Linked DNA regions of Neodiprion lecontei. The protein of the gene in region 1 purifies or fractionates together with the protein of each later gene. This does not show direct contact. Links are inferred from orthologs where the notes say so. Each region holds a gene or a part of one and is shown in the gene's direction. Other genes may lie near its edges.

Region 1 (4,694 bases):
ACCAAAGATAAATACAAAATAATCGACTCTTGCACTTACAATCGTTTCATGAAAGCTCGACAATCGAACCAACCTGTTACAACAAGAAATTTGCAGCAATGGGGTCTCGCTGCTGCCAGCCAACTTCCGGAATTAAAATTCCAGGCTTCCGAGTCATGGGCGAAACGTTTCAAGCAACGGCACAAAATTCGACAACGAACAATGAAAAAGTATGTACCGAAGAGAGAAACTACTGACATCAAAGAAACTGGAAACGGGCATGGGCTTTGATACTGAATTAAGACAAGGATTTTGTCATTCACACTGACTAAACAGGTATTGAAATCATATTCATTACTACTATTCGTTGTTTGAATCATATTTTGTTTACAGAAATTGGGGAAAAGTTAGTATGCATAATCAGTATTTTGTATTATAGTTGGCTCATTTTCACTAGGTTGTCAGTACCAGTCAACTCTTAATTCAACCCCCGCCAAGCTAGAATCAAAGGTGGTGCTGATTAAATGAAGACACGAATAAGGTGATGCATTTGAATATGGTACAATATGCTGCCAGCCTATGCGGAAAACTGCTTTCAACCATTGTTCGTGTGTGCCAAAGACGACTTGCAAATTTAGGCCCAGGATGCAAAAATCAGCAGACGTGCATGCAAAAAAATATTCAAACGTTATGATATCAGGAGATGCTGTAATACGTGTAATATGCTGCCAAGTTATACAATGACAGAACATCGTTCATAAACATAAACCCAGTTTGCTTCATGATAGACGATTTGAAGAATCCACAGAAAAAAATCCAGAACAGTAATCTGAAGTAAATTGAATTTAATACATATAATTCAACAATATTATATATATATATATATATATATATCTTTAATATGTTTAAAAAAAAAAATGATATACAAATTTCTGTTCCAACGTTTTCGATTTTAATTTTTCCAAAACCGGTTAAGAACCACATTTTCCTGCCTGCACCTGTTACACCCCTAGTCATGGCCTACGCGTATACTCAAGATGGACCTACTCAGCGTTCCATGCAGGTTCATAGAGTTTCCTTGTGATGATGAAATTCACAGAAGCCTAAGGGTACAGGGCTAAAAGTAATTAGAGTAATTTTAATTAAAGTACGTGGTTCCAGAAAACTCATTGCAAAAACTGAGATAATTATAAGAATTCTGAAAATCATTTTTATTTATCAAGTACCTGTGACTTTCAGATTATCAAAGGGGTAATTTTACAATTGCATTAATTAAACTTTCAATAATGTTAACATACATCCTATAACATGTGTAGAAATATGATAAATCATATTCTTTGTGAAATGTAACACAATGTAAGATGGCGGCGGCGTCACCGGTGAACTGCGAATTAGCCGCGACTGTAGCAGTTAAAAGACGTACTGTGGTTGAAAGCAGTACCAAACAGGGAACCAGTCGGCCTATAGCAGATTTCAGGCTCTGTGCAAGGCAATCGAGGAATCAGTTGTAAACGCCAAACGCAATTTGAAATACCTAGAGAAATACAAAGTCATACGTCGTCGGAAAATCTGAAGAAGCTCCGTCGATAAAAAAGTGCTTGTGCAACCTCCCGCGGATTCTGATCCTTAAACCGGAAATACACGTTATATCTTGTTAGTCGTTCGGCGAGTAGTCGAAGCTTGTGCGGCCGAGGAGAACGGAAATGAAAATGGCGGTCTGTTGAGAGAGTAGCGTTACGTACGAGAATCGTTTTGCGGTTTAATAAGTGGGATTTTCTTTGTGATAGTTTGGAAAAGCCAAGATGGGGTGAGTTGGACATTTAATTCTAATCCTAATTTGGCTGGATGTACCGATTAGTTTTCATAATTGCCCTCGTATCGCTCGTAATACGCTCATGTGTTTATTTTGGCTGCCCCGAAACAAAATACATTCGTTAATTCATCGTAAACTTCTGAGAAAATCTAATCATTTTCATTGAGACTGTTGGCGCAGTTATTTCTCGTCTAACACCTCCGTTTTTTTGTACTCATACTTTAATATAATTTACCACAATTCGAACATACCTAATTATATCTGGACCAAACCTAAAACCTAGCAATCTGCGATCTTAAAGGTCAGTTTATGCTCCCCAATTCTTAATGTCAAACAAGGAAACCGAAGAGCAGACAACCTTATACTTTAGCTCAGATCTGATATATCGGATTCGGATTTTAATCCACACGTGCAAATGACTCTTCACTGCTGTTGTGAATCTTCTCAACTATGTATTAGGTAGTCAATATCTGTTATTTCTTAATTATTAATAAGCGGTAGCTTAGTTTGATTCCCTACTATAAATTCTGTGATCTGTTTTACATTGCTAGAAGTTCGGACTTGGAATGCATTGATCCAAAAACTGATTCGATGGATGAGTCTGATATAGCGGTATTAGGCGAAATGAAAAAAAAGAAGAAGAGGAAGCACAAACATCACAAGCACAAGAAGGACAAAACTGTGGAGAAAGAGGAAAGGATTGATCGGCAAGAAAGGTAAGACTATCAAGCATTTCTGTAATTTTAGTTCTGAAGATAAATAATAATGATTGTTATACCTGTAAACAAACCATACCTAAATTTTTAATAGTTTTTAAAAAGGGATTATTTGACACAATTATGATAACGCCAAGATATTGTTATGCCTGCATATGTCATTGTAGAGTATGTTTTTTAGAAAGAAACATAAAAAGCACAAACGTCCAAAAAAGAGCAGGGACAATGAAAATGGTTCTGTTGAAGAAAAGCCACTCCCAGTTGACGTCAAGTCATCCAACATCCATAAAAATACAAATGTTCCTAAAGGGACCAACATGAATGGCAAAGTGCAAGCTTCGCAACTTGAGGTAGTTTCCTCTGAGGAAAGTGAAGATGAAAAACTAATCGACTTGGATTCGGACGAAGTTGACTGTACTATTATCGAAGACGACATTGATCTCGAGGAATTAATGAAACAGAAGGTAAAATTAGTACATTTGTCCTTCTCTCAGTAATCATACTCATAACTCATGTAGGGTTATTATTGAAAAATACGAATCATGAGTGATAAAAAAAAAAGAATGATTATTGTTGTTTTCTTTACAGGAAAGACTTCAGGCATGTTTAGTGCAATATTTATCTGATGATTCTGAAAAAGAGGGTAAAACTCAACTGCAGGAAGGTGTAATGAAAGTGGCTGAAACACCTGATATAATTCTAGTCGAAGATGATAGCGAGGATAGCATATGCCGTAAGAAGCGTCCAAGGAGTAGATCAGAAAGTAGAGAGAGAAAACGAGTGCCCTCTTCAAAACTTGAGAGGCGTGTAGTTGTTGATATGTCCCGAGACAGACGGGGTCGCGAGGAGGCGAAGGACAAAAGACGAGATACTGACCGCAAACGAGATGACAAAGTTAGGGGTAGAGACGAACCAAGGCGGGAAGACAGGACATCGAGAAAGACAATTGAACGGGCTAAAGAGGATGCAAGACGTGAAGAATCACGCAGGAGACTGGATGACGAGAGGCGAAAAGAAATGCTCAAGAAGGAGGAAGAGCGCAAGAGAGATCATGAACGAAGGTAAATTAAGACCTCTGATGTTATTCAACTACCGATGTTTTCGTAATGAATATAGATTGATTTTTATTACAGGGAAGAAGAGCGCAAACGTGATTCTGATAGGCACGCTACAAGGCGAGAACCTTCACCTCGCAATGGATCCAAGGCCAGAGACATAAGGTCAGATTCGAGACACCGTACTATAAAATCAGATAATCACGATACCTCAGGTGGTAGGGACCGGTTCTCTGGTCGAGAGAAGAGGGATAGCCGAGAACGTCAGTTGAATCGTGACCATCAATTGAATCGGGAGAGACAAGGAAGTCGGGAAAGAAGAGACAGCAGAAATCACGATAGAATACGTGAAAGGTCAAAGAGTAACAGAAGGTCTAGAAGTCCCATGAGAAACAGGAATGACAGAAATGACAGAAATGAGAGAGCCGAGAGGAATGAGAGAAACGACAGAAATGACAGGAATGACAGGAATGATAGAACTGACAGAAACGACAGAGATCGTCTGGACCGTCATCGAAGGTCTAGATCTATCTCTAGAAGCCGTAGGGATAGAGATAGGCATGGACGCGATGGTGAGCGGGAGAGGGACAAGAATGGCAAACGAGACAAAAATGATAAGTACAAGGATTCCTTGTCAGAGGGTTTGAAGGTAGAACATTCGGAGAGTTCCAGCGAAGAGGACATCAAAGACATTGATATCGAAGAAGAGGAAGATGAGGAAGCAATTATCGAGCGGCGAAGGAAGCAGAGAGAAGAACTCCTGAAAGTAAGTATCCAGGTTCCACAATTTATCGATTTTTACGAGAAGAATTTATGTAGAATTTGGTCGTGCCAAAGCAATCGAGTAGGCATGCATCCACATTGTGTTACCCAGATTCTTATATTGTGTATTACAGAGGTTAGGAGGGCCAAGCGAAGATTCAAATCTCTCAATGGAGTTGAACACAGTAGTTAGTTCACCACCGTCAGACAATGTGTCAGTTGAGTCCCACAAATCAGTAGATATTATTTCAAACAATAATGAATCAAACTCAGAGAGCCACACTCCACCATTACCAGAAAAACCAAAATCACCTCAACAATCTATGAAAAAGCGAAAATCCAGATTTAACACTGTCGGTGGTGAAAATA
Region 2 (6,353 bases), on another chromosome or scaffold:
ACTTATGAAACGTTGGCGTTTCTTTTTTCTTCTTATCCCGCAGCAACGGCCAACGGGACCTCCGACCTGCTCCGGTTCCCTGCAAGGCATTCCTCAGGCAACACAGCAACAGCAACAGCAACAGCAGAATTCCAACCCCCAGGAATCGCTGTGCTCCGAAATGGCTCGTGAGCTCTGTCTGGCGATTCGCTGCAATTCTTCAAAGCGCAGAAGACGGGGATGCGAAAAATGCTCGTCAAACAGAGGATCTGGTTACCTCCAAGAAAATCAAACCCCCACACCGATTAACGGGATGAGGTCACAGGTGATTTCGTAAATGCGTATAACGTCTTCCTTGGAAATGCATGCGATTCGAATATGCCTGGAGATGAAATCAACCCTCTAGGATATTTGCAATTACATCAATCGCCGGTTTTCAACGCGCAGCTTAACATCCGCAGATCGAACGTCGAAAGAGTTTGTATCGATGGAAGTTTGCTCGTTCCTGCAGTTGGTTTGTGTGTGTTTTTTTTTTTTTCTTCTTTGTTCTCTTATTATTTATTTATTTCAAACTCTCGAACTCGCTTTCCGCTGCACCTGTAGCTTTTGTTTTTTAGTTTACACCCAGCTAATCGAAAAATAAAGCTGTCGCAATTATCGCTGCGTATAAATTAATTTGTAAAGCACTGAGTATGTACAGTACCACGATAACCGTGTAATTTTGTAAGAGAAAAAACAAATCCCATTTGAAATCGGCATTGTTGTAGGTGTATAAAAAGTTTCGCACAACGGGAAAAAGTTTGAAATTTTTTCAGAGGAGTAGCTTGGGGGGCGCCATCGACCTTCCACCCCACATTCACATGCATCACGGACTTTCGCACGACTTCGACGTTGATTACGATTGAAGATGGCAACAAGTCCGAAGTTCTTCGTCATTCTTCGTTTTACTTTTGAAAAATTTTCACCCGAATTTTTCTCCTAGCGTGGTTGAAAATTTCACGCTTTACGTAAACTTGAGCAAAACTATGTCATTTCAATCGTTTATTACTTATTCATTTTTCCAGGCGTTCAACCGTAAGCGTTAATTCTGTTTTCTGGTACATTCTAATGCGGTCGGTACACGCGCGGTAGATAAATCCGTACGATCTCAGGCAGTTATTCGTGGTTTCACCGTCCTTTGCCAGATCAATTGTCTCAGATCTATAAACGGATTTACAACTCACGTTTGCTGATTGATCAGAGCCGAGTACAATTGAGTTCACTGCACAGAATTATTGTAATATGTAATTATAAACGATTTAGAGGAGTTGAGTTGAAATTGTGATTGTTATTGTTGGAACGACGATACCATGTGAACTATAGTACCTCTTGATACACATGACGTGTTTTACACGTCGTGTATAACGAACAATATAATATACAGGTGAATGGTAATGACGAATCCAAATCGCGATCATGATATATATTTATTGTAAATAAATAGTCGGTATAGATGTATACATACGGATTTAGTATGTATAACGATAAGCGAGAACTTGTCTAGTTTATACATTTGAATTTAAATGTGTAATTATTATTGTGTAATATCATAATAAGACGATGAATGTTAGTATTAAAGAGTACAACTTATAATATTTACACACATCTATACATGTTGCATTCGTGTGAGCTGTGCAGATAATTATGTTTAGGCTATTCATATTGATACAGGTATAATATACGTTGCATAATCCGTGAGAATTGCATTCCGCTTATGGTATTTTTTTCGTATTTCCTTGTACGATTATGCGGAAAAATAATCGAAAATGAAAAACGTTTTTGGAACTAATTTTAATTAATTCTTTTAATAAATGTAATTTTAATTATTTCAATTTTATTAAATTTTAAGTAAACGCAGGCTGGGTATCGATACATACTAAAGTGGATCGTTACACAAAGCGTAATAATAGCCATAGTGGAGTGCCAATGTAGTGGTCGAAACCGAACGAATTAAATTACCAAACGATGTTAAGTATTGCAGCATAAATAGATGTTTAACAAACTTTGTGTGCTTGAAATCTAGCCCAAACATTACTCATCATCTACTGGTGAATATCCCTGGGAAAACTGAACACATGGATTCACAAAAAGGATTGATCGATCGTATTGTCACTCGATACGATTGAGACCGTGGATACGTTGCCGTTCGACGATCAACTTCCTAAAAATCTCTGTGAAAAAAAAATCATTTCATTAAAGGAAAAAAAGTTTTATCGAAGTCATTTTTGAAATCGATAATTATTGCGTATTGGTAAAATAGACAAGCAGCGAATTTGTTTTTCTATTGAATCGAGAGAAACCAATCTATTCTTTCATTTCTTCATTTCTACAGCTGCGATGTTTTGCAACTTCGGTAAACAATGATTACGTAAATTAAGTATAGATCTTATCGCATTGACGCATGATTGTGCAAATATAGTGCGATTGGTTCATCCCTCTTGTAAATCCAGATTCTCTCCTACAATGGAAATGCGCTAGTTGAGTAAATGATAAATGATTAATGTTTTGAAATATATTTGGGTAGTCAAAGTTTCTTAGATTCTCGTTCTTGCTGCAACAACATCAATCGTTAATGTCTGTTATTTGTTTTGCTTCGACCGCTACAGCGGCACTTCGCTATGATAAGCACGCCCTGTATTATGCATTACTTGCCGGATGGTAAGTACCGCAAAGCGTTTACTGAAGATAACTATACATTTTCATTATTTAGCAAGTCCGCATTTGGCAAATTCACCGACTACCGATAAATTCGTCAGTATTTGAACCGACTCGAAGTAAGTTTCATTCGACTCTCGAGTTATTCATCGGTAGTCGAAGAACCTCGATGGTCGGAGGTCGAAAAACTAACAAACATCAATGATGGCGTCCAGGAAACAGGGAAGTAAACTAAAGAGGAAATTAGTGGAACACGGCAGTGATTCGGACGACGATAACGATGGTAACTGTTGTAATTCAAATAATAAATAATACCGTTGTTTTTGTGATAATATGTCTGCCCGAGTAAAAAGTTTTTCATCAACGCAACGGCACATAACCTAAACTAACCTACAAGTTCGTCACGTTCGGCTTGCATTTTATTACTTGATTGAAACATCAATTATCCTCATTCCCAATTAGACATACAGCAAATATATCCGTTTTTGCCAGTAGTAAGTGATTCCGAATTCGGGAAACTTGTTTATTATCTCAAGTGACAAACCTTACCTTGAATCTTTGAGTATAATTCATTGAATGACTTTGGTATCTCGATTTTCATGCCTCGGTATCTCGAAATCATTTACAAACCGATCAATTTTCATGTGGTTCATTTTTATTTTCTTACAGCGCAGCAAAAAACCTATAGATCGAACTCAGAGGCTCCACGTCTGTGCCCTTACCTCGATACGATCAATCGTCAATTCTTGGATTTTGATTTTGAGAAATTGTGTTCTGTGTCTCTTTCCAGAATCAACGTTTACGCTTGTTTAGTTTGTGGTAAATATTTCCAAGGTAGAGGCACTAACACTCACGCCTATACTCATAGCGTCGCTGAAAGTCATCATGTATTTCTTAATCTTCACACGCTTAAATTTTATTGTTTACCGGACAACTATGAAATTGTCGGTAAGTTGACATACCTATATAATATAAATCTTCTGATTTCGACTCAACCCTGACCCTGTTGCTAATGTTTACAGATTCATCCCTTGACGACATAAAGTACGTTCTAAATCCTACTTTTGATAAATGGCAAATTTCTCAGTTGGACAAAAGTGACAAATTATCCAGAGCTATAGATGGCTCGATGTATTCACCCGGAATAGTCGGAATGAACAACATTAAGGCAAATGATTACTGCAACGTCATTTTGCAGGTAAATTTGGACAATCAACGCCAAATATGACACTTGCGAAAAGCAACCTCGATATATTTTTCTGTACAGGCTTTGTCTCACGTTACTCCATTGCGAGATTTCTTCCTGAGAGAATATAATTACTCCCATGTGAAACGACCGCCAGGAGATTCGTCTTACCTTCTAGTCCAGAGGTTCGGAGAGTTGATGAGAAAGTTATGGAATCCCAGAAATTTCAAGGCTCATGTCAGCCCGCATGAAATGCTTCAAGCTGTTGTATTGTGGAGCAAAAAAAGATTCCAATTCACAGAACAAGGTTGTCCAGATTTTTACGATGATTATACGCACGTTTCTTGTCATGGTGAACTCACATTTTTGCGCCACAGGTGATCCGGTGGATTTTCTGTCCTGGTTTCTCAACGCGTTGCATCTGGCGCTAAATGGGACGAAAAAAAAAGACTCTAGCATTATATACAAAACGTTTCTTGGCCACATGCGGATTTATACACGGAAAATACCGCCACTAGAACTGGAAGAGAGTCAACGAAGTGAGCTTCTGAATACACTCGAGTATGGAGAAACCGTAACTGAAAGCCCTTTCTTGTACCTGACTTGCGATCTGCCCCCACCTCCGCTCTTCAAGGACCAATTTACGGAAAATATCATTCCTCAGGTTAGCAAGGCAAATCGATATTGTTGGTCATCACGTAAAACTCGTTCCATTCAATATCGGGCACTTTGGTAATTTTATTCTTTAATTGACAGGTGAATTTGTATACATTACTAAACAAGTTTAATGCAGTAGCCGAAAAAGAGTATAAAACGTACAAGGAAAATTTCATGAAGAGATTTGAAATCACCGAACTACCACCTTATCTTATTTTGTACATCAAGGTACGTGAATAAAATACGATTTACGAACTAATTATTCAAAATTAAAAAAACGATACCAAAAACTTTTTTACACGTTACAGAGATTTACGAAGAATACTTTCTTCGTCGAGAAGAATCCCACCATCGTTAATTTTCCCGTCAAGTGAGTGCTTGCTTGCTTTTGTACTTTTCAATAACGCAATTACAATAATTACATTTGAGTAAAATAATTTTTTCCCCAAATTACATTGCAGAAATGTAGATTTCGGTGATATCCTCACGCCGGAAGTTAAGGCTAGACACCCGTACACGACGTACGACTTGGTAGCGAACATAGTTCACGACGGTGAGCCCGGTCAAGGAACGTACAGAGTTCACGTTTTGCACAGAGGGACAGGCCAGTGGTACGAGATGCAGGATTTACACGTGACGCAAATATTACCGCAAATGATTACGTTGACTGAAGCTTACATTCAGGTAAGCATATCATTACCCTGATGACCGTAATGCAACTTCATAATCTTACACACCAATTTATTGCAGATCTATGAATTACGGAGAGAAGCTGGCTTCGAAACCGAAGGATTCCAGACAGCGAAATAAATAATTGTACAAACAGGGAGGAGGACGCCTAATGAACCATTTAATAAAGTACGATATTTTAAACAATTAATAGCCACTGAACCTTTTCTCCACACAGAGTGTCTTGAAACGAGGAGAGAAGGATAGTAAAAAATCGTGTCACACAGAAACGTCCCTACTTTCAAACCAATCGATCGGAAAGCCAAGGATTTTCATTCAGGCTGAATAGTAATTTTTATTTATAGAAAGATGACGCACGCTCCGGGTCGTTGAACTAAGGTGGCAAAGAAAGAGAAAAACAGTAAATCGATACTGGTGACGCAATTTATTACCCATCGAATACAACTTTCAATTTTTTTTACGAGTAATCGTGCCCTTGAAGACTCCGGAAATTAGCAGCAATCGTTCGGCTGCGATATTAGGAAGAGGATAAGACGTAATGTACGATATTCAGATACATTAATCTATTTACAGATATTGTTGATGTTTTAAAACAAAAATCTGATTTAAAAAATAACGTCGTGCCTCACTTCGAATATACCGGCAGGGTTGCCAAGTCAATCCTGAACCTGAAAAAACAAAGAAGAAGCAAATGAGTTGGAAACAGGATCCCCGGGATCGGCAGTTCGCTTCACTGCGTTCCGTAGCCGTCGTTTGTTCGATACACGTGGAAGTATCGAGTCTATACGAGTCGCGCGTGGCCAATAAATCGCTATAAAACCTTTGAAAATCGCATCGCTCGGTAGTCGTCGGAGGTCACGCGATACGATAATTTCTTAAAAACCGTCAGAGCTTCGGATCGCGTGCAGCCGGCGTAAAAGCTCCTCAAAACATATCCGAAAGCGAACCTTCCGCGGCTTCGAACGCGTTATCGGCGCATGCGCAGAAGCCTCCAGCGCGGCCCGGCTCGACGTGACGCGCAAGGCGGCGGGACAACGCCGAACTCTCGGCAGCGATCGAGTCTTGAGTCGGCTCCGAGCCGTGCGCGAGTTCGTTTCATCGAAAGATAAAGGTATTCGTGTTTACACGCGGTCGGTCGACTTGTTTT
Region 3 (7,680 bases), on another chromosome or scaffold:
TCAGTTAATCAAACCTTTTGTCTGTTTCGACTAATTAAACTGTCCTTTTTTCGTTAATTCTATTTTAATCTGTTCTAGGTAACTGAGTTTTATTGATACAAAAATAAGATACAAACAATCGCCCTTCATCCATAATTAAAACAACCATCTTTCATCCATAATTAAAACAGTCATCTTTCATCCATAATAAATAGTTAACGGGTCATATGAACTGAAAAGTTTCGAACAAACTGCAAACATATGCGAGTACCAATTGATTGGGAAAATCATTTAACCGTAATTAACGTATGAAAAAAGTAATTTGAAATTTTTCGAAGAACGTAAGATCGATCTTGCAAGTATTCTCCGTGGAGTAGGCCTACTGGGGATACCACGTAAAAAAAAAACGCGCCGGGTGCTCTACCGCTTGCGGTGGTGTGGAAACGAGCATAAGTGAACTCATTTTCACTCGTCAAATACTAAGATATTATAGTTTTTCAAATGAAAATTTTATCTTGTGTTAATTTAACTCATTGTCAATAAAACTCGTGCTTCGATAATGTGTAACGCGTGTGGAATCGTAATACTTTCGGATTTCTCTAGTTTAGTCAGAGTACTAACCGGGTACTAAAAATAACAAAAAGAACTATATTCACATTTTGTATGTTCGAGATACGGGTGATCTGTCTAAAAGCCCCATTGTAAAAGATGGAATGCAGAGTAAGAAATTAACTCCCGTCTTCGCTTTTGGATGTGTATTGTAGAAAATTATTTAAAAATTTTTATGACAAATTTGTATACCCGCTTGATTTCTAGACCACTTAACTGAATCTACTGTTAAATATTTTTTTCAACAAATTATTACATTCACATATATAAAAAGAAAGGCATCTTAGACTCAATTAAAAAGAACAAGAGAAATGTTTTGTCACATTATACATATAAATTTATTTAAAGGAAGTGATTCGTCAAGAACGCAATTCACAAATCAGTTGGAATAAAAAATATGACTTATTGAGTGGGAAAAATTTTTGATATGTCAGCTGCATCTTCTTTTGGAATAAAGATATGAGCCTTGACTGAAGATACATATTATTATCTTCAGTTAAACGTATAAGTCAAGTATTAAAAATATGTACAGAAATTACATAAGGTACATATAGGAACAAATATATATCTCCATCCTTTGATTAACTTCTTCGACTATATCTCCCATCCTTCGCATCAAGAAAAGGTTTCTAACTTTGTTAACAGTAAATCAGGTGCATGTTTATTGTGCGCCTATTTAGATGACATCAATTTTGTCGATCCGATGGAGTTAAATTGACATTGCCGAATTTGGCCTAAATGAATTTGCGTAGTTGAAAAGTATACGGCGTCCATACGGAGTTATATGAAAATATCAGTTTGTTCCCGTTCGTCATTCCATAGGTATAAGAATATTTCACTGCATTATCTGCGTACACGCGGTGAGCGATGGTAACATCAGTTCGTTTCGCCGCTACTTATCAACCGCTTGCCAGATTGAGTCGCGCGTGTAGGCGGGAAAACTTAAAACTAGCTACTCGCCTTCTACATGCTCTAAGGTCACCTTGGCCAGCCACTGATTTTACGAACACATCAGTGGAACACGTAATTTCTGTTGTATGTATCTCATGATCACGGAGTAGTTCGTGATCGTGATAAAGTCTATTCAACACAAGACGAAGTTCGACGTTCAGTTAAATTTATAGGTTAAAGTGTTAAGATTAAAGAAATGGGATCTAATAAGCGGCACAAGACTGAAAAAACTCGTGAAACTAAGAAAAAACGTCATCGCAGCCGTTCTAGATCGCACTCTATAGAACGTGAAAAAGTCGACAAACATAGGCATCACAAAAAACATAAAAGAAGAGAACGCAAGGATCACGACAGCGATGGTACTAACCTCTTTTAGTTTTTTCCTTCGTAAACGTAACTATTATCCTACACCTTTAAAGGTAACAAACCTTCACCAAAACACCTACACATGCATAGATTTAAAACTGATTGTTCAAAGCTACCCTAAAACCGTAATAGTTCTCATATATTTTTTACAATGTAATGTTCGTGCTATGTACTTCAGAGGACTACTAATCCAAGTCTATTAGTAAAAATTATTGCGCTATTGAGTTGAATTAGCGCTTACTTTTATATTGTATAGTTGCAAATTTAATGTACATTTATACTACTTAATAATATCGTGTATTAAGAAACTATCCTCTTGTGTTTATAGTTGAAATTGTCAGCGCTCCACCACCTCCAAAAATATCGAGAATACCACATGCACTGACGCCACCACCTCCTCCAGAAATATCTCGTCAAAGGAGTGCATCTCCAACCAAAGGAGGAGCAGCGCAGACATCATTGTCAGTTGAAGAAACAAATAAGTTACGAGCAAAGCTTGGTCTAAAACCTTTAGAGACCAGTACTACCTCTGTAGATGATCCTAACAAAATCAAAGATGATTTAGGAGAATTTTATCACAAGCCAGCACCAAATACTAGCGATAAAGTAAAAACGCAAAAGATCAAAGATAGACTGAACACGCAGAAGGAAAAACGACAGATTGAATCCAATCTTTCAAAACTCAAAACTTTGGGCGAAAGCGATTCAGATGATGACGCCAAGGCTTGGGTGCAAAAAAACCGTCTCCTTCAGTTGGAGAAAAAGAAGGCTGATGAAAGGGTAAATACAGAATACTTGACCTAAAGCTTAAAGGCATTATTTCAATTTATGCCAGCACCGTCAAGTTTAAAATTAAAATACTTATGAAATAATGCTGTAATAATTAATTTGCATTTGATGTTATTAGTATTTTATGTTATATTTTTAAATAATCTTAATGCTTGAAGTAGAGCCAACCACTCTTGTATTATATTAATAATGTGTATTTGAAAACTTTCATGTAAGAAAGTCAAGCACGATCATCTATCCATTTAAAGACTATTTCTAATTTCATTATTCAGGCAAAAATGTTGGATCAGTTGGACGAAGAGTTCGGTATAGGTACTCTTGTTGAGGAAGAGGTTCAAAGTGAACGTCGTTCAGCCTACTCGAACAAAGATTTACGAGGGCTCAAAGTCGAACATGACATGGTAAGTTTGATATATTCTGTCGAATTGAAAAATCTTTACTGTAATTAGGATTTATTATGGGTTTCAAATGTAGCAGTTGTAAATTTAATATAGTCATGTTCCATGAAATATTGCATTTATTTTGTTAATAACATGTAATGATTAAATCGAAATTTAATTATTTTTGTTACAGGATACTTTTGAGGAGGGCAAGACCCTTGTACTGACACTCAAAGATCAGGCAGTTTTAGATGAGCATGAAGATGTACTAGTAAACGTAAATATGCTGGACGAAGAGCGTTATTCGCGCAGTAATTTGAATAAAACTAAAAAACCTGGGTACGATGCGTATGATGAAGACAATTTTGATGAGTTTGGATTCCCAGTGAAAACGGTTCTAGACAAATATGATGAAGAGATAGATGGACAGAAGAAGGAAAGTTTTGCCATTGGTTATGATAATGCTAAAGAACGAAAACAACGACAAACTGAAATTGTAAAACACCGCCTAGCGAACAAAAAATTGGAAACACTAAGGATGCCAGAGCTACAGTTAGCTAGTGAATATTACACTGATGCAGAGTTGGCAAAGTTTAAGAAACCCAAGAAAAAAGTAAGATAGTATTCAACGTCTAAACCTTTTGTCGCAACTTATTCTAACAATTTAGTCAGTTCTATATAATTTTTCGTTTTAAAATCATGGTAAATAGGAAAAAATAGATCATGTGACTTGATACTGAAATAAAGCAATAGATTAATGGAACTTAATATAAAAATAAAATTATCTGAACATTTTATTTAGTGTTTAGAGTATGGTTTATATTAATTGCAACTTTTAGATCCGAAAAATCAGACAGAAAAAGATGTTGAAGGCAGACGATCTTGTTCCTGATACAACTGATTATCTCAGAGATTTAGGAAGTCGAAGGAATTCAAGACATAAAGAAAAAAAGGATCATGAGGATCCTGAAAATCTTGTTATGGATGTCGATGATACAGAAAGTAAATTTATTTTTCAACAATATAATCCCTACTTCCTTTAATTTAATTTACATCAATTACATTTTCCTTGGAATTTAGATACAAGTGAAGACTTGTCGGGTGTTAAAATTGAAGATGATGACAGAGAACTCGAATGGCAGTTGGCATTGAAAAAAGCACAACGTGTGAAACTAGCACGTCAAACTGGGGTAGAAAAAGTTGCTCAAACAATAAAACAAGAAATTGACAATTCAAATGACAATCAAGTTGGTAATATTGTACTCAATGCGACTGCTGAATTTTGTAGAACATTAGGAGACATTCCAACTTACGGGCTTGCTGGAAACAGGGAAGAAAATGTTCAAGAACTCATGGTAACGTGTTTCTAGTAATTATTTATCTACTCAAAATCTTTCAATGCATAACAAGTATTGCAACAGTTCATCATGTTGATCAGGACTTTGAGGCTGAGGGGATCAAAGATGAAACGGTAGATGATGGAGAAGATGCTGATGGCCGTGGAGCTTGGAATACAGTAAAAATAGGTAAAAATGCATTTACTTGACTAACGTTCTACTTCCTTTCCTGATAATTGTTTAATTATGAACTATCTTTATGCCTTATCAGTATTTCAATAAAATCTCAAAATTTACCCATACCTCAAAGATGAAGCTGCAGCTGAGCCAATAACACTGGAGGCTGCAATTTTGGATGCAGAACCATCGCTTGGACAGGGTGTAGGCGGTGCTCTAAGACTTGCAATGAGTAAAGGTTATTTACAAAAAGAGGATACTAACAGACCTTCTGCATCCCGTTTTGCTCATTTACAGGCACAAAATTATTCTATTGAAGATAAAACTTATGGGTAAGTACTATATTTGATATTATAATACATTCGAATTTTCTCAAAGATAAAAAAATAAAACAATAATCATTATTTTAAACCAATATACTATTATTTTCAGTTTTTTTTCTTTTCTTTGTACACTTTTACCCATTTAATTTGTTTTGAATGTAACTGTTTTCAGAAGATTCTGATCAATTAATTATTTTATAAATGCAGGGATGATGACAAGTTTGGCAGAAGAGATAGGTTTAATGGACCAACTTCCGAATTCAAAGAACGAGACGGATTTAAGCCCAATGTCAAGTTGGAATATATCGACGATGATGGACACGTTTTGAGTGCCAAGGAAGCATTCCGATATCTTTCTCATAAATTTCATGGTAAAGGTCCTGGGAAGAACAAGGTATATTGAAAAATATTTTAATCTATTTATGTAGAACAATGCATGCTAATGATATTAAGCTTTATAAATTTATAATAGGAAATGTCAATTCAGAATTTCATTTATAATAGTTACTATTTTGTAGCGCTGCAATAAATCTGCTATTTACCCGATTTTGAATGCAATGCGTAATATAATTATATATGTATATTCTGATCATTGATGAATCAATGATAATTTCATGCCATGAATTGTTAATACTTTTTATAACTAGGTGGAAAAGAGAATGAAGAAATCTGAGCAAGAAGTATTGATGAAGCGGATGTCTTCTACTGATACTCCACTAGGTACACTTAATCTATTGCAAGCTAAGCAAAAAGAAACACAATCTCCATACATTGTGCTGAGTGGCAGCAAGCAGTTGCAAACGTAAGTTTTACACAATATGCTATTCATGGGAAATAACTTGGTTAATACAATTTTATATTGCGTGAAAAGTTTCGGTACATTCCAATAGTTGATGTGTGATAGAAAATTCTTCCTCCAATAACTTGGTGTAGGTAATAATTTCAATGCATCATATTATGATATGTTGTGCACAAAGATACTCACTTAGAATCTGAAGGCATGGATAAACTGGTGGTAATGTGCTCATATAACGATTTTCAGGACGAGCATATCAAAGACGAAGCATTAAAATTATCAATTAAAAGATGGAAAATCAAGATGTACATTATTATACATAATGTAATATTAAATCTCTGATAAGGTTTGCGTAAGGGTGAGTGTTCTAAAGCTCAGTTCTCAGGTATCTTTAGAATATTACATAAATCAGCAGATCCTATTAAAAAAATTTTGATCATCTTTATAATACAAAACCCGTTTTTATCCTTGTATTATTTACAATTTCATATGTTTAAATGTGTGTATAATTCCATTGTTTAGACGCTTACAATTACCTTTAACACCGTAATGAGGTGTCACAATATCATGATACAATTATTAAAGTTCATAAATTAATTTCGGTAGATAATGAGTTCTCTACCGAAACTAGGAGAATTTATTGTTTGCATTACAGTGTCAAATCAATTATTCAATTGAAACCGTAATAATTTATTCTTAGGAAATAAGAAATTTGAAAAGTATGAACTGGAATCTTCTAAATAATGAAAACTGATTCACTATAGCAATACAAATATTCGAAGCATAAACTGATGATTAGGAAATTTTGAGAGAAAATGTACGAAGAAGTAAACTAAAACAAATAGTAAAAGTGTAAAAAAAAGAATAATAAAATTAGTGACCCAAAATTTAGGATGTTCATTTACTTTTTGGTCGCAAAATTTATACTTCAACTCTATGTCCAAAAATTCCGCCTCGTGGAAAAAGTGATATCTTCCGAAAATCGTATATTCTGTTTGCTACACATATATCAGAAATGCTTGAATTTTAAGTATATATTAATAAATGTCATTTAAAACAATTTAGGTGCAAGGAATTTTAGTTATTACTTTGCAGATTACAAGCAATCAATAGACCTGATCACCTTCATTTTATTTCACTTTGCATGCATGTATATGTAAAACTCGAATGAAACCTTTTTCAATAATAAATAAACGACTTACCTGAATACATAGTTGATTTTACACATGCCGACGTTGAAATTTATCGTTAACTTGGACTTTCATCCGACTTTGTATGTCATTACCAGACTCTCGAATTATGTTATTAAGAAAATTATACATTGAATCACAGTGAAGAATACAACGTTTTGATTAATGTTCACATTTATTAAAACTATAACAAATACTTATAAAGGTTTCTTACTAGCTACACTGCATTGTATGATTGATTGTAGCCTTCTACATAAAATCGTTACCCTAGTTGTTATCACTATTTACACGAGATATGTTTGCAAAAACTTCGGAGTATAAAAAAGTCGGACTTTTCGGGATGGGAAATATCTGAATGTTATTTTTGCATATGTAAAACCGTCACATATATCTAATGTAGATAGTGATTAGCAATGGATCTACAAAATTTATGCTAATGAATAACAATTATGAAGCATACGTTCATTAATGTTAGCATTAAAGCTTTATTTGTGCATCTCGATCGATTATACGCATTTGTGATTCAAAAGCTATTCAAAACGGATGTCTGCAGTTACAGACACGTTCATTTTGCCTAAAAATGTAAAAGATTATACAAACTGGTCTAGGGATTTGGTAGAAGCGGTTTTTATAATTTGGTTTGAAAAAAAAAAGCTAAAAGTAAAATTGGGTTTCTTATGTTTCAAAGTCCATTTGTGTGTATACACTGGCATTGTTCATTAGTTGGTTGATTATTAGCTATAAAAAAATCATTGGCACTCAAAATTTACAGAGCACAGTTCA
Region 4 (4,620 bases), on another chromosome or scaffold:
ACTTACTACTCTGTTTAATTTTCATTTTTCTATTTACGTAAGTTGCAATGTTGCACTTTTATAAGGGTTTGTCGATCCACCGTGACTGAGATAATTTCGTTGTTTATGATATTACCCAATGCCAACGGTAGCACTTTACTTTTCCAAAGGTAAATTATCAAAAAGACAAAAAGTTTGTCAATTTGTACTCAACGCTTTGGATACCATTCACGTCCGATCAACCACAATTTTAAAACAGAATGCAGCGTAAATTTAGTCAAATTGAAAATAAAGAAAAAAATGTAACTTCAATATTTCGTAATGGCGAGATTTTTTTAAAATTTAATTTGGTCCATGGGAGGGAAAAAAAAACTTACTGTAGCCATCATCGGCACCAGAAGCTTGCGGTTCATTATTGAATGAACATGTGAACCCTAGAGTTTGATTTCCTCTTTCAATATCAACTTCGAAGCTTGGCTTGCTTTTCATTTCTCCAAATTCAGCCTTGTCTTCTGGGGTGTCAATGTCGGGTTCAGAATCAGAATCGACAGTATGATTGACATTGAAATTTATCGTTATGCTAAAAAATTACGAATTCAGTCAAGTTTTTGTCACAAAATTGTAATAACTATAGCAAGAAGATCGCTAAACAATTTTTGGCTTACGTTTCATCTCCATGTTTTTTGGTGAGCGTAACCTCCGCTCCATCTAACGATATCTTAAAGCCGTCTAACTCTGTGGGAATGGTCTTCATTTTTTGTGCCTTCTTTTCCGCAACAATTTCTTCAGCTAAAAAGAGTCCCAATTCTTTCTCCGCTATAGCATCAACCATGTAAATGACAAAAAATTGCAATTGAATAAATAGAGAGAAAATTATCACTAAAAAAAAAAACCAAATAATAGTAATAATAATAATAATAGTAAATTATATTTCGGGCGGAGAAGTTACGAGGTGACATTGAAAAATGACCCTAACCTTTGGTGTGTGCCTTTCGGGAGCAGCCGCAGCTGCAAAAATCGCTGGGATTTTGAATTTTGTAACTCGTTAGTGGTGCAAGTTCGTTTTGCCGGCTGCACATGTTCCACATCGTTCTTGCGAAATCCCTTCGTGCCGTGCCGCCGACAACAACGGTAGATTGTGTTAATCCCTTGAGAGTTGAGGCCCTCAGAGCGGTTCTGACTAATCCGTTCATCTTTCTGTCTTCTGGCTTATACCGCCGTTGATAATTGTTGTAATTAATTTACACTGTTTTCTAAAATTCGGCTGATGCACGACTTGGCACGGCTCGCGATCAAGCTACTCCTTGCGCGGAAAAGGTTGCGTCAAGGCTACGTTCACTCTTGTATTCTCGTCTTCCTCTACCATACTTGCCTCTACCCTGTTCGCCGACCGGATGTTCACTAAGGTGAGCTCAAAACCACAAACTAGTCAGGTATACTTAGACGCGGATATGGGGTGAAAATTATTATCGTATAATGTGACTTTCAGTGGACTTTCCACGCCGAAGTGCAGGCATTTTTCTCGACGGTTGATGCGTGTAACCTTAGTGACCGGAAGTCGACTCAGTGTTACAAAGAGTTTAGTAAACGCAGCCGCCATTTTGTAGCGGCGCTACTGATTTCGAGTATTCGAGTAATTTCGTCTTCGTTCGGCATGTCGGCTTGTAAACGTAGGAGATACGTTTCGCAAAGATACGTATAGACGGACGAAAATCAGGTGCCAAATAACACCAGTTGATTAATTGGAAGAGCAAATTGGGCGCGATGTTGCTGAACAACTAGCGATACCCTATTTGCAACAGAAACCAAGGTAAATACAACACTCACGACATTCTCGTGATCAAAATGGCTGACGATTTTTGTCCTCACCGCATTCTCGCCAATGAAAATCAACGGTCGGCGTCGATTTTGACTGATCACTAAGCGGAAATTTTTGCTTATATAACCTCAAAAATATCATAATTATTTCACTAATCGAATAAAAGTAATAAAAGCTTTTAAGATCCCAATTTGACAATGGAAGTCAACCATAACCAAAGGATGTGTATTTACAGGCCTCAACGCCGCATTTTTATTACTCAATAACTCTGTAAATGATTGACAGATTACGTGACATTTTCTTGCCACATTGTATTTCCGTATTGATTTACTTTCACGTATTTAATTCGGATTGTATGATATCTAGGTCAATTGGCACGATTTCTTATATGCTCATTTACGTCTAGTTATACTACTTTTTCAACTCATAATTTCTATAATAATTAGCTGATTGATCAAAGATTTAAAAAATTTCTTTTCAGCTAAATAAGTCAGCGTCAAAATGTCTATACCGCCTTACTTGCTGGGCCCAAACCCATGGGCCACCATGATGGCCCAGCAGCAGGCTCACGCTCAGCTTGCAGCTGCGCAAGCTCACGCGCAAGCAGCGGCTCATGCTCAGGCAGCCCATCATGCTCACATGCAAGCAATGGCTGGGCCGCCGCTACCGCAGCTGCCTAAGCAGCCCGAAGTTATTTCCGAAGATAAATTGCAGGAAAAAGGTAAGAATGGATTATTATTGTTAATGTTGGAAAGACAGAAAAGGTCCTCTACGCATGTGTATTATTTTCTAGTGATTGAAGAAAACATCTAAAAAATTGATATATTTCCAAATAACATTCATTGATGAAAACTGTTCACATATGATTAGATAACTTGATTTCGTTATCCCACTTTCTGCAAATTTTAGCTCAAAAGTGGCAGCAATTACAGTCCAAACGTTTTGCGGAAAAACGTAAATTTGGGTTCGTCGATGCTCAGAAGGAGGATATGCCGCCTGAGCACATAAGGAAGATTATTAGAGATCATGGAGATATGAGCAGCCGAAAATACAGACATGACAAACGTGTTTATTTGGGGTAATTATCGTGTATCAGTGTTCAATGAAGCTCTATTTTTTGTTTGTAATTTTGTCTTCACCTTTTGTTATACGGTCATTATATTAATTACAGTGCTCTGAAATACATGCCTCATGCTGTGATGAAATTGTTGGAAAACATGCCAATGCCATGGGAACAAATTCGGGACGTCAAAGTGCTGTATCATATCACCGGAGCCATCACATTTGTCAATGAAATTCCATGGGTCATTGAACCAGTCTATATCGCTCAGTGGGGGTGAGTTTTTAAAGAATTTCCAGCTCTTTGTTAAGAGAGAAAAAAAGGTCAAATAATTACTTCGGCCCAATGTTTGATCGTGATTAAAATCTAGTGAATTTAATTTTAAGAACAATGTGGATCATGATGAGGCGTGAGAAACGAGACAGAAGACATTTCAAAAGAATGAGATTTCCTCCGTTCGATGACGAAGAACCGCCTCTAGATTATGCAGACAATGTGTTGGATGTCGAGCCTTTGGAAGCCATACAAATCGAGCTTGACTCGGAGGAAGACGAATCGGTTGCTACATGGTTTTACGAGCACAAACCTTTGGTTGGGACGAAGTAAGTAAATGCTTGATTATGATGCTGAGCTCAGCTGAAATTTTTCTTGAAAGTGAACTGAATTATTTCATTAGCAATATCAGGACCTTTCGCAGCTTTGGCGTCAATATATGACCTGCTGCCCAACTCCTGACAATATACGTCATTTATACACCAATTTCATGATGAATCGCGTAGGGGTCCTGAAATCAGTCATTCATGTGGTCTGACGGTTGCAGCGTTGTTGTTTGCTTGTCTGAGATAAAACAAATGCAACGTTGTGATTGGATCAAACGCTAATCTGAAATAGACTTACGTATATACTCAAAATTTAGCAGCCTGAAGAAACATGACCAAAATTATTTCATGCAACGAAATTTTTCTAATAATTTCCAGGCATGTTAATGGATCAACTTATCGTAAGTGGAACTTGTCCCTTCCACAAATGGCAACATTATATCGGTTGGCCAATCAGCTGCTGACTGATTTGGTTGATCAAAATTTCTTCTACCTCTTTGATCCAAAGTCGTTCTTTACTGCAAAAGCTTTGAACATGGCCATTCCTGGCGGTCCTAAGTTTGAGCCCCTTGTGAAGGATTCAAATGCTGCTGATGAGGATTGGAACGAGTTCAACGACATAAATAAAATAATCATCCGACAACCAATTCGTACGGAATATCGTATCGCTTTTCCTTATCTGTACAACAACATGCCACACTTCGTTCATCTTTCGTGGTAGGTAGTTTTACTTGCAGATTATTTTTTAAATTTCTGAAGATTCTGTTATTATATTGATATCCACACCAGTTTTAAGACAATATTAAAATTATATGTGGTCTTACTAGCCGTGTGGTAAAATATTTAGTGATCGTTATTCGTCACCCTCGTAGAGGAGAGAGGGCGACTGCTGAAATCACAGACAAATTTTTAACTTTAACAGTACTATCCTTGTATTTGTTTAATTACATCCTGGTCGCAGGTACCACGCTCCTAACGTTGTCTACATCAAGACCGAGGATCCAGATTTACCTGCCTTTTATTTTGACCCATTGATCAACCCGATTTCACACCGAAATTCATTGAAGGTACATCCATTGCACTTTAATAAATGCTGTGTAGAGATTATCATATTTGATTTCGAGCTGTTCCACGTCGACATCCCTGTTCAATGAGTTGTTCAA

The links.
Region 2: the proteins of serine/threonine-protein kinase PRP4 homolog (region 1) and U4/U6.U5 tri-snRNP-associated protein 2 purify together in Homo sapiens (affinity purification with mass spectrometry; 3 studies listed by BioGRID and IntAct, with this or other methods). This does not show direct contact. The link is inferred for Neodiprion lecontei from reciprocal best matches to the Homo sapiens genes PRP4K and USP39.
Region 3: the proteins of serine/threonine-protein kinase PRP4 homolog (region 1) and U4/U6.U5 tri-snRNP-associated protein 1 purify together in Homo sapiens (affinity purification with mass spectrometry; 3 studies listed by BioGRID and IntAct, with this or other methods). This does not show direct contact. The link is inferred for Neodiprion lecontei from reciprocal best matches to the Homo sapiens genes PRP4K and SART1.
Region 4: the proteins of serine/threonine-protein kinase PRP4 homolog (region 1) and pre-mRNA-processing-splicing factor 8 purify together in Homo sapiens (affinity purification with mass spectrometry; 4 studies listed by BioGRID and IntAct, with this or other methods). This does not show direct contact. The link is inferred for Neodiprion lecontei from reciprocal best matches to the Homo sapiens genes PRP4K and PRPF8.

The regions. Positions count from the first base shown.
Region 1 is NC_060261.1:1,567,870-1,572,563, reverse strand, and holds the start of serine/threonine-protein kinase PRP4 homolog, read left to right. Parts: upstream 1-1,663; 5' UTR 1,664-1,781; coding exon of another isoform or gene 1,782-1,786; intron 1,787-2,093; exon of another isoform or gene 2,094-2,130; 5' UTR 2,131-2,207; coding exon 2,208-2,251; intron 2,252-2,343; coding exon 2,344-2,508; intron 2,509-2,689; coding exon 2,690-2,972; intron 2,973-3,096; coding exon 3,097-3,569; intron 3,570-3,641; coding exon 3,642-4,329; intron 4,330-4,459; coding exon 4,460-4,694. Other genes in the region: uncharacterized protein LOC124293103, read left to right, coding at 1-270. UniProt on the Homo sapiens protein: Serine/threonine kinase involved in spliceosomal assembly as well as mitosis and signaling regulation. Connects chromatin mediated regulation of transcription and pre-mRNA splicing.
Region 2 is NC_060260.1:4,204,717-4,211,069, forward strand, and holds U4/U6.U5 tri-snRNP-associated protein 2, read left to right. Parts: upstream 1-1,982; 5' UTR 1,983-2,874; coding exon 2,875-2,956; intron 2,957-3,342; coding exon 3,343-3,621; intron 3,622-3,695; coding exon 3,696-3,871; intron 3,872-3,940; coding exon 3,941-4,166; intron 4,167-4,236; coding exon 4,237-4,523; intron 4,524-4,615; coding exon 4,616-4,744; intron 4,745-4,824; coding exon 4,825-4,886; intron 4,887-4,977; coding exon 4,978-5,200; intron 5,201-5,266; coding exon 5,267-5,326; 3' UTR 5,327-5,374; intron 5,375-5,550; 3' UTR 5,551-5,822; downstream 5,823-6,353. Other genes in the region: glutamate receptor ionotropic, kainate 2, read left to right, coding at 44-304, 441-497, 795-884.
Region 3 is NC_060262.1:28,400,332-28,408,011, reverse strand, and holds the start of U4/U6.U5 tri-snRNP-associated protein 1, read left to right. Parts: upstream 1-1,649; 5' UTR 1,650-1,735; coding exon 1,736-1,898; intron 1,899-2,233; coding exon 2,234-2,685; intron 2,686-2,966; coding exon 2,967-3,095; intron 3,096-3,267; coding exon 3,268-3,687; intron 3,688-3,913; coding exon 3,914-4,076; intron 4,077-4,154; coding exon 4,155-4,429; intron 4,430-4,512; coding exon 4,513-4,600; intron 4,601-4,721; coding exon 4,722-4,920; intron 4,921-5,118; coding exon 5,119-5,305; intron 5,306-5,558; coding exon 5,559-5,713; intron 5,714-5,953; coding exon 5,954-5,981; 3' UTR 5,982-7,680. UniProt on the Homo sapiens protein: Plays a role in mRNA splicing as a component of the U4/U6-U5 tri-snRNP, one of the building blocks of the spliceosome. May also bind to DNA.
Region 4 is NC_060264.1:1,831,783-1,836,402, reverse strand, and holds the start of pre-mRNA-processing-splicing factor 8, read left to right. Parts: upstream 1-1,589; 5' UTR 1,590-1,789; intron 1,790-2,279; 5' UTR 2,280-2,299; coding exon 2,300-2,519; intron 2,520-2,707; coding exon 2,708-2,876; intron 2,877-2,969; coding exon 2,970-3,134; intron 3,135-3,244; coding exon 3,245-3,460; intron 3,461-3,835; coding exon 3,836-4,174; intron 4,175-4,418; coding exon 4,419-4,524; intron 4,525-4,620. Other genes in the region: complement component 1 Q subcomponent-binding protein, mitochondrial, read right to left, coding at 357-559, 645-795, 956-1,172. UniProt on the Homo sapiens protein: Plays a role in pre-mRNA splicing as core component of precatalytic, catalytic and postcatalytic spliceosomal complexes, both of the predominant U2-type spliceosome and the minor U12-type spliceosome.